Oryctolagus cuniculus: one gene and its partners. The protein of the gene in region 3 purifies or fractionates together with the protein of the main gene of each other region. This does not show direct contact. Links are inferred from orthologs where the notes say so. Each region holds a gene or a part of one and is shown on either strand. Other genes may lie near its edges. The genes, in order: BAG4, PNRC1 and DCP1A.

Evidence for each region.
Region 1: the proteins of DCP1A (region 3) and BAG4 purify together in Homo sapiens (affinity purification with mass spectrometry; 4 studies listed by BioGRID and IntAct, counting the BioPlex papers as one, with this or other methods). This does not show direct contact. The link is inferred for Oryctolagus cuniculus from reciprocal best matches to the Homo sapiens genes DCP1A and BAG4.
Region 2: the proteins of DCP1A (region 3) and PNRC1 purify together in Homo sapiens (affinity purification with mass spectrometry; 3 studies listed by BioGRID and IntAct, with this or other methods). This does not show direct contact. The link is inferred for Oryctolagus cuniculus from reciprocal best matches to the Homo sapiens genes DCP1A and PNRC1.

Annotation. Positions count from the first base shown.
Region 1 is NC_091433.1:87,946,782-87,950,439, reverse strand, and holds part of BAG4 (BAG family molecular chaperone regulator 4), read right to left. Parts: intron 2,295-3,658; coding exon 2,040-2,294; intron 448-2,039; coding exon 193-447; intron 1-192. UniProt on the Homo sapiens protein: Inhibits the chaperone activity of HSP70/HSC70 by promoting substrate release. Prevents constitutive TNFRSF1A signaling. Negative regulator of PRKN translocation to damaged mitochondria.
Region 2 is NC_091436.1:83,405,527-83,407,885, forward strand, and holds part of PNRC1 (proline-rich nuclear receptor coactivator 1), read right to left. Parts: coding exon 2,045-2,359; 3' UTR 1-2,044. UniProt on the Homo sapiens protein: Nuclear receptor coactivator. May play a role in signal transduction.
Region 3 is NC_091441.1:96,526,917-96,530,574, reverse strand, and holds part of DCP1A (mRNA-decapping enzyme 1A), read right to left. Parts: intron 2,593-3,658; coding exon 2,454-2,592; intron 1-2,453. UniProt on the Homo sapiens protein: Necessary for the degradation of mRNAs, both in normal mRNA turnover and in nonsense-mediated mRNA decay. Removes the 7-methyl guanine cap structure from mRNA molecules, yielding a 5'-phosphorylated mRNA fragment and 7m-GDP.

The DNA of each region.
Region 1 (3,658 bases), on a different chromosome or scaffold from region 3:
AAGAGAACGAAGAGAGGAGAGGAGAGGAGAGGAAAGGAGAGGTGAGGAGAGGAGAGGAGAGAGGAAAAGCTATAGGTAGTAGACACCAGATTTTTGCAGTTACTCCCCATTTAACAGACCGATGCAGAAAGGTCCCATGTTGTACTCTATTAAGTACCCAGACTTCACAGGAACAGCCTTTAGATGTCCTACCTTGGGCTGCTGGGGCGGAGGCGAAGGAGGTGGCTGAGGAGAGCCACTGCTAGGCCATGGTGAAGCATTTTCGGTCACATAGAGATTCCCAGGTGGTGCTGTGGGCACAGCCGAAGGCCAGGGGTAACGGGCACCCATTCCATAAGCCCCAGAAGAGGCCCAGGCATCCTCTTGCGGTCGTACACTTGGTACAGACTGTGGAACACTACGATTACCATCCCCATATGGATAATGGGGCAGAGTCATTCCAGGGTTCTAGATTGAGAGGAAGAAATATGCTGGTCATTGCTAAAAAAAAAAAAATTGAAGAAGTAATGAAAATATTCTAGTACAGGCAGATTCTGAGATGCTAGTAACTAATTAATCAGTTGCAATAATTTCTCCAAGCCTACAAAATCTTGTTTCCAGGGGGCAGCCACTGTGGTGCAGCTGGGATGCCCACACCCACATCCCATACTTCAGAGCACCTGGGTGGAGTCCTGGCTACTCTGCACTTCCAATCCAACTTCCTGCTAATGCATTTGGGAAGCAGCTGATGACACTGAAATGCCTGAGTTTCTGCCACCCTCGTGGATGACCCGGATGGAGTTCCTGGCTCGTGGCGTTGGCCTGGGTTAGCCCTGACTGCTGCAGGCAATTAGGGAGTAAACCAGTAGGTGGAAAATCTCTCTGTGTCAATCTTTCAATAAAAAATTAAATCTTAAAAAAAAAAAAACAAAAAACACTTTGGTTCCATGGGCAAGTGTTTGGATGTCTGGTCTGGCGATTAGGATGCTCACATCCCCTGTCAGATGCCTGGGTTTGAGTTCTAGCTCCACTCTGTGATTCCAGCTTCCTACTATCCGCAACCTGGGAGGCAGCAGGTGATAGCTCACGTAATTGGGTGCATGCCACCCCCTGGAAGGTCTGGACTGGGATTCTCAGCTCCCAGCTTCTAGCTGTTACAGGCACGGGAGGTAAACCAGCACATGCGAGCTCTCTTAAATTTAAAACAAACAAAAAATGTTTAAAAAAAAATTTGGTTCCAAAGCTTTTAGGGGCAGGTTTGCTAACAATCAAAGTCACAAAAATTAAAGCCTAAAATTCAATTGATGAAGCACAGACACTGTAAACAAATGGCCACATATACTATAAGAAAGTATCAATAAGGATGTATCAGAAGTAAACAGAAGAGGTAGGTGCTGTGGCATAGTGGCTTAAGCCTCTGCCTATGGTGCCAGCATCCCATATGGATGCCGGTTCAAGTCCCAGCTGCTCCACTTCTGATCCAGCTCCCTGCTAATGGCCTGGGAGAGCAGCATCAGATGGCCCAAGTGCCTGGGCCCCTGCACCCACATGGGAGACCTAGAAGAAGCTCCTGGCTCCTGGCTTTGGATCAGCCCAGCTCCAGCTATCGCAGCCAACTGGGAAGTGAACCAGCAGATGGAAGACCTTTCTCCCCCTCTCACTGTAACTCTGCCTCCCAAATAAATAAATAAATCTAAAATAAATAAATAAATACACGTGACATTTAGAATAATGTTTTATATAGGCCTAACAGAGCTAAGACACAGAAATTTTCAAGTAGTAACTCTCTAAATATTGCGTTCAGTATTAAAAAGTGTGTGATTATGGCATCTTTAAGGTGCCTTCAGCCAAAGTCCATGGACCACAACAGTTACAAGTACAAAAGGCATCAACAAAAAAGTAGCACCTGTCTTCCTGGTCCCAGTCACTGCTGGCAAATCTCTGAACATCCCAAGTGTGTTCTGAAATCTTCAATCTAGCATAAGCAGTCACCCTTCCACAGTTTGCAATCCAAGAGGCACAGACAGAGCAGAGCTTTTCCCCAACCGACAACTGCTTACCTGAGAAGCAGGATACCCTGGAACCTGCCCTCGCAGAGGGGGCACTTCAGTCTGAGAGTCCTGTTGGGGATACACCCAACGAGAGACCGGGGTTGGGCTATTGCCGGGTGAACGGTAAGTGCCGGGAACCTCTGTGGAATAATTGGCCTGGGTATATCCAGGGGTGTAATACGCCCCAGAGTATGAGGCAGTACTTGCCCCAGCGCCAGGTGGGTACGGTGGACCGTATGCTCCATTTGTGTAAGAATTCAAACTCTGAAAAAAGCAAAGTTGAGAGAAAAAAGATGAATGGGTAGATGAACTGAAACGCCCTGTCTTAAGGCCCAACCTTAAAAACTTTGGGAAGAAACGAGATCAGTGATGAATGAAAAATATGAAATACCTGAGCAACTTTTGAAGCGTTCTCTATCATTTATTATGATTAATGCCATAAATGAAACTTGGGCTCTAAGTGCAGAGTCTGTGTAGTGACCAGGGGAGAGCACATGATGATGAGAGGAAATGATGAAGCTATGGCCTTAGAGCAGTGTTCTTCAAACGTCTCCTTAAGTGCCCCTAACAATGACACCTAATAGCAGGGATGAACTTAAACCCACACACTAGGGGGAGGATTCCTGAAAACCTAGGAAAATGACTTTTAGAGAAAGGGAGTACCACAATTTAATAGAAAAAGGGGGCCGGGCAGTATTTTGGTATAGCAGGTAAAGCTACCACCTGTGATGCTGGCACTCCAACTTTGAACACTAGTTCAAGTTCTAGCTGCTCCACTTCCAATCCAGCTCCCTGGTAGTGTGCCTGGGAAAGCAGATGGCCAAAATCCTTGGGCCTCGGCACCCACATGGGAGACCCAGAAGAAGCTCCTGGCTCCTGGCTTCGGCCTGGCCCAGTCCCAGCCATTGTGGCCATTTATGGAGAGAACCAGCAGATGGAAGATAGATAGATAGATATCTCTCCCTTTCAAATAAACAAATAATAATAATAAAAAAAAGAGCCAGACATAGCTCTGCCATAGGTTTTATATTTTACCACTCTTAGGAGCCAGCATCATGGCATAATGGGTAAAACCACAGCTTGTGACACTAGCATCCCACATAAGCACCAGTTCATGTCCTGGCAGCTCCACTTCCAATCCAGTTATCTGATAATAGCCTGGGGAAAGCAGTGAAAGATGGCCCAAGTGTTTGGGCCCCTGCTACCCAAATGGGAGACCCAGATGAAGCTCCTGACTCCTGGCTTCAGCCTGGCCCAGCCCCAGTCATTGCAGTCATCTGGGAAATGTACCAGCAGGTGCAAGATCTCTGTCTTTCGCTGTCTCTCCTGCCCTCACTGTAACTCCGACTTTCAAATAAATAAATAAATTTTTTAAAAACGTATGTATCCACTCTTAGCTTCAGTTTCTCCATCAGAATAACAAATATTACAAACATTTCAGAGGATTAATATAAGAAATAAACAATATGACGTAGAAGGCTACCATCCTGGGGTGGGCATTATGGTACAGCAGGTTAAGCCTCCACTTACAACACCAGGATCCCACATTAGAGTGTTGGATTGAGTCCTGGCTGCTCCACTTCCAAACCAGCTTCCTACTAATGCAGCCTAGAAAGCAGCTGATGGTG
Region 2 (2,359 bases), on a different chromosome or scaffold from region 3:
TCAAGTGCCACTGCCAACAATTTTTTCCACTCACATAAGCTGACAAACCTTTTACTCCTTTGCAATTAAAAGCTGTTTCCTTAGGCCACTATAAATTTAGGCCTGAAGCTAAGAACTACATGGTCCCATACATCCACAAAGCCAAATTACATCAACATTAGAGGAAACATTTCAAGAGATTCCAACAGAAGAAAAATAAAGGTGGCTTAACATCACTGACCAAAACAAATTCAGTACCTTCTCACTGAATATATATTATATTATCTGGTATAATTCACTTATGTTTACTCTTACAACTGTAAGACCTATCTTAATACTATAATATAGTCTACTTGTCATTTCTTTAAAGCTATTTATCAATGTTTTAACTCTAGCATTCTCAGAAAATAATTTTCCAAGGCTGAAAAGTTCACCTATATTTTCACATTAGTTTTAGCACCAATTTCTCTAAACCGTTCTAATATTCAATGAATATTAAAGCATAGCTTAATTTCTTTCTGTAAGAACAAGCATTTCATACCCAGGGACAAAGAATGGTTGGCTGGCTAGAGCTGCAAATACAAGATAGCATGCCTTGCCATTATTACACAAATTTTGTGGGACAGCTACATAACAAGTCATCCTATCTTCCTGGCACTGAGTATCAAGTTAAGAGCAAGTTTAAGCTTCTGCTCACACTCCCTACACCACACAGAAAGTGAAGTCTTCACTCTCCTTGTGGGAACCAGTGTGAGACCTAAGACACCTCCAGGTAGCACCATTCTCATGAATTCAACCTTAAGAATCATGTTCAAGTATGTACCTTTAACATCTTTTTTCTTTTTCCTCTCTAAATGTCGCCCAATTACGCAGAAAAGTTTTCTCCTTTGAGACAAACTTTCAGTTTATACAAGTGAAACCATATAGAAAGTGTATTTTAGAATTTGAATTGGTAATATGTTGAGAATGGTTTGAACTGCCATGTTGATCTTCAAGCCTCCAAAATCTCCACCCACTGTTTTCAGCATCAACTATGTTTTTTCAGTACAAGTGCCACCATTCAAGATTAACGTAATAAAACATAGGTGTCATTGTCTTACACTGAAAAATGTACCATATATTAAGTCAAATAATACTTCATAAAAAAGTTTACATATAAAAATATATTCTAAGTCATAAACTAACCAATTTTACTTTGTCCACTACCATTTCCACTTGTGAGATGGGCAATTCCCCACTAAGAGGTAGAAATGTTAAATAATTGCTCAAAATTTTGTAGAGGAAGAATCATCAGTACAAAGTCAAAAACAGAGCCAGTGAAATGAGAAGTTAAAAATCCAGTCACACAAAATCCCATGGCCACACACAGGACAGTCACACACAAAAAGTCAAGACTAGTTTAAAGGGGGGAGGCCAAATTATTATTACTTTAAAATTTGATTACAACCGATTTTGTTGGCATTAAAATTAGAGGCATCTTAAATTTGAATAATGGATATATACCAAAAACAAAAAATTAAATTTGGTAGAAATGGGGAGGAGTTTTTCCAGTAATTAGATTGGAAGGCAGAAATCAATTTAGCGAAAGACAAAACTCCATTGTTTACAATGATTGTGCCACAGACTTAAACTTCAGTAGTGCATTAGTAAACTCTTCACATTTAGATCTTCACCTTGAGATTTGACAGCTGTTTCTTGGTAAAATCTCAGTACCTTGTGCAAATAAACTGGTGTTCCATGTGCCTTAGCACACTTAAAATTTCTCCATTATATATATATATATGTATATATATATACACAAATCACCTGCCACATGGGCAGGGCAAAATACATACTTTCATAACAAAACTATAATGTACCTCTCAAGTATGAACAATATACACATAATACATGGTATACAGTATTTACAAAATATAAAATATAATACAAGCTGTTTGTATGTAACTTTTTAAACTCATCTTTTGTACTCTTACATTGCAACAAGGCAGATTTCCAGATCTGTACCAATTCAAGAGTCCAGGAAGTTGGAAAAAACTGTTTTACATACACACTGAAATCTGAAATCTTAAGTTTGAACCTTCAGCAGTGTTTTCAAATGCACTGCCATCAGCTCCTTGTTTTGGTTGGAATTTTCAACAGAACTTCCCATCCAGTGACTAGGAGGCTTTGGCAGAACACTAGGAGAAGGTGGATCACTGAACTTGGCGCCAGCGTAATTCTCCTTTTGGCTCACTTCAGTCAGAAATGCTGACTTCTTCAAATGCATGTTTTTAATATTCTCTGTATTTTTAAAAGGCTTTTTTTCCTGCTTCTGAATTCTATCAGATGACACAGAGTCCTGCCAAAAGTTATTTTCATTCCTTTTCGTAGAGGTGATCTT
Region 3 (3,658 bases):
TCTGATTTTTGCATATGATGTATTTATGCATTTAGGTTAAGGTTATTTTGTTTGCATATGGATATTCAATTGTTTGAATGCCATTAAAATTGTTAACTTGAATAGGACCCTAAAAGTGAAAAAATACAGTTACAAAGATTGATTTATTTGAAAGGCAGAATTACAGGAAGAGGGATGGGGAGAGAGATAAGGAGAGAAATCTTCCATCTGCTGGTTCATTTCCCAAGTGACCCCAACAGCCTGGCTGAAGCCAAGAGCCAGAACTCCATCCAGGTCTTCCATGTGGGTGGCAGGGCCCCAACACTCAGGTGATTTTCTACTGCTTTCACAGGTGCATTTACAGGGAGCTGAATTGGAAGTGGAGCAGCTGGGACTCAAACTGGAGCCTACATGGGAAGCTGCAGGTGGTGGCTTAACATGACGTGCCATAATGCTGGCCCCTGAAAATATTTCTGTTCTTCAAAAGAAACCTCAAAAAATGATCACTGGGATGGACACAGAATTATAAATTTTTAACAACTTAAGTTTTTTATATTTGGGCTATGTGATCCAGTATCTGGTATTACTGATACCAAAAGATATAACCAAAAACCATTTAGAAAACTCAAGACACTAGATTTTTAAAAAAGCAGCCTTTTCAAAGTTCAGTCTGCAGACAATTAGTTCTCTTGCTACCATATTATAAAAACATGTGCTTACTACAGGAGAGGCAAATGTTAAATTAAGGCATTACACTTTTTTTTTTTTTTCCTATTCAAATGACTTAATCCTTGTATTATTTCAGAACATCACAGGGGTGAAACTGTTTGCAAAAGCTTGCAAAATGTCTTCTACCATATCCCTTTCTGTGCAGCAACACCATCAACCAGCCACCAATTTCACTACTGGGAATGCTTGGAATCGAATTATATTACAGAAAACATAAACATTGTTCACAGTAAATCCTTAAAACACAAAGTGCAAATGTTCAGAAACACTTAGGAAGCTGGAGTCTCCCTTTAAAAAAAAATCCAGAATTGTCATTTGCAGAGACTATCTGGCAGCACCAGGTCATTTGGCATTAACTGGCTGGGACTTCACTGCAAATGATCTCTGTCAGGGAAGTGGCTCTCTGGCCTACTTTACCAATGCCACTGCTTACCTGGCTCTTGGGGCACTTGAGTTTGCAATACTCGAACATAAGCTGCATAGACTGTTTATGATATGTTGTTCTTTAATGTAAGGTATCGAGAACTTCATGTTTTTTCGATACTTGTGTAGGGCTTTTCTTGATGGTTCATTTTGTTAATGACTACTAGGATGAGGGGATTGGACAATCACAGCCAGATCTGCTGGAAGTCATTTTTATAATACAGGGTATAAATCTTATAATTGTCAAAATCCTTTAATCTACCAAGTCAAGTAATTCATCTTAAGGAAAAAATTAATGCTGTACATGAAGATTTAGCTACAAAATGTTCCTATTAGAATAGAAAGAGAAATCTATGCTATCATTTATGGGAGACTGGGAAGAAGTACCTGGCTCTTGGCTTCGGATCAGTGCAGCTCTGGCCGTTGCAGCCATCTGGGGAGTGAACCAACAGACAGAAGACCTCTATCTCTGTCTCTCCCTCTCACTGTCTGTAACTCTACCTCTTAAATAACAAAGTATTTTCAGTGATTATGATGGGTGGCTGGGTGATGGAATTAAATTCCACCCAAACCCAGGGTTATATTCTGTGGCAAGAAACAACTCAAACTGTACCAGTTATGAGGGTGCTTACTGGAGAGTTTTAGTTTTTTTTTTTAATTTTTTAAACCATCTTTAATTATTATAAATGGGGGCCAGCGCTGTGGTGCAGTGGGTTAACGCCCTGGCCTGAAGCGCCAGCATCCCACATGGGCGCAAGTTCGAGACCTGGCTGCTCCACTTCTGATCCAGCTCTCTGCTATGGCCTGGGAATGCAGTAGAAGATGGCCCAAGTCCTTGGGCCCCTGCACCTGCGTGGGAGACTCAGAAGAAGCTCCTGGCTCCTGGCTTTGGATCGGTACAGCTCTGGCTGTTGTGGCCAACTGGGGAGTGAACCAGTGGATGGAAGACCTCTCTCTCTCTCTCTTTCTGTCTCTGTCTCTCTTCTCTCTGTGTAACTCTGACTTTCAAATAAATCAAGAAATATTTAAAAAATAATTATTATAAATGCCCCTCCCACAAAAGTCTGACATTTCGGGGCTGCTGGCATCCCATATGAGCACCAGTTTGAATCTGGGCTGCCCTGCTTAAAATTCAGCTTCCTGCTAATGTGCTTGCAAAAGCAGTGGTAGATGGCCCAAGTTCTTGGGCCCGTGCCACAAATGTGGGAGACCTGGATGGAATTCCAGGCTCCTGGATTTGGCCTGGACTAGCCCTGGCCATTGTGGCCATTTAGGGAGTGAACCAGAAGATTCTTCCCTGGTCAGCACCCAGAGAACCTTACCCTCTCGTACTCATCCTTGGCTCTGCTCAGCATCTCCAGGATGTCGATGGGCCGGTGGTCGCTGCAGCCATTGGCCTGGTTTGGACTCTGTTTATCCCGAGCAGCTTGTTGCGATCGCCTTGTTTCCTCTTCTACCACGCTAGAGGAGGAGAGCTGGATTTTAGAAAAGCCTCTTTAGACACAATCTGACCCAAGAAGTCTTTTGCTGTCCATCTTCCAAGGGTATGCCAACAGGGTCACATGATGCCCGTATCCTCCCAGCACATCAATACACAGCCTTGGTTATTTCATTCCGGGAAAATATAACTAACGTTTTTACTTGTTCACTACGCTGCCAACCAATACATTTCACCTTTAAAAGACAAAAAAACAGGAGCCAGTGCTATGGCATAGTGGGTAAAGCTAATGCTTACAAGGTAGGCATCCCATATGAACACTGGTTCAAGTCCCGGCTGCTCCACTTCTGATCCAGCTCCCTGCTGATGGCCTGGGAAAACAGTGGAGGATGGCCCAAGTCCTTGGGCCCCTGAACCCACATGGGAGACCCAGAAGAAGCTCCTGGCTCCTGGCTTCAGATGGGCCCAGCTTTGGCCATTGTGGCCATTTGAGGAGTGAACCAGTGGATGAAGGATCTCTCTCTTCATTCCATTCTCCCTCTTTCTCTCTATAATTCTGCCTTTCAAATACATAAACAAACTAAAAAAAAAAGACAAAAACATAGAATTCCTTCCTAGAGTTGGTAGAAACATTTATGTCAAAAATTCTGTGAAAGTGTGTCCTTTTCTTCCTAGAAATATGTCAAAATCAGTCAACCTAGCTCATAAAATACATTTGAAACTGGACAATGCCAAGACACAGGTATGGCTGCACTGTTGAGCAACCCATTGTGGAAGTTTGTACTGTCCTTAGGCTAGCAAGGAGGAAGATTCACTTCTAGAAATAGATGTCTTGGTCAACCTTTGAACGTTAATGATAGTAAAAACAAACAATAGGTCTTCCCTAATCTTCCTTTTTTTTTTTTAATATTTTATTTTATTTTATTTTAGACAGGCAGAGTGGACAGTGAGAGAGAGAGACAGAGAGAAAAGTCTTCCTTTTGCCGTTGGTTCACCCTCCAAAGGCTGCTGCGGCCGGCGCACCGCGCTGATCCGAAGCCAGGAGCCAGGTGCTTATCCTGGTCTCCCATGGGGTGCAGGGCCCAAGCA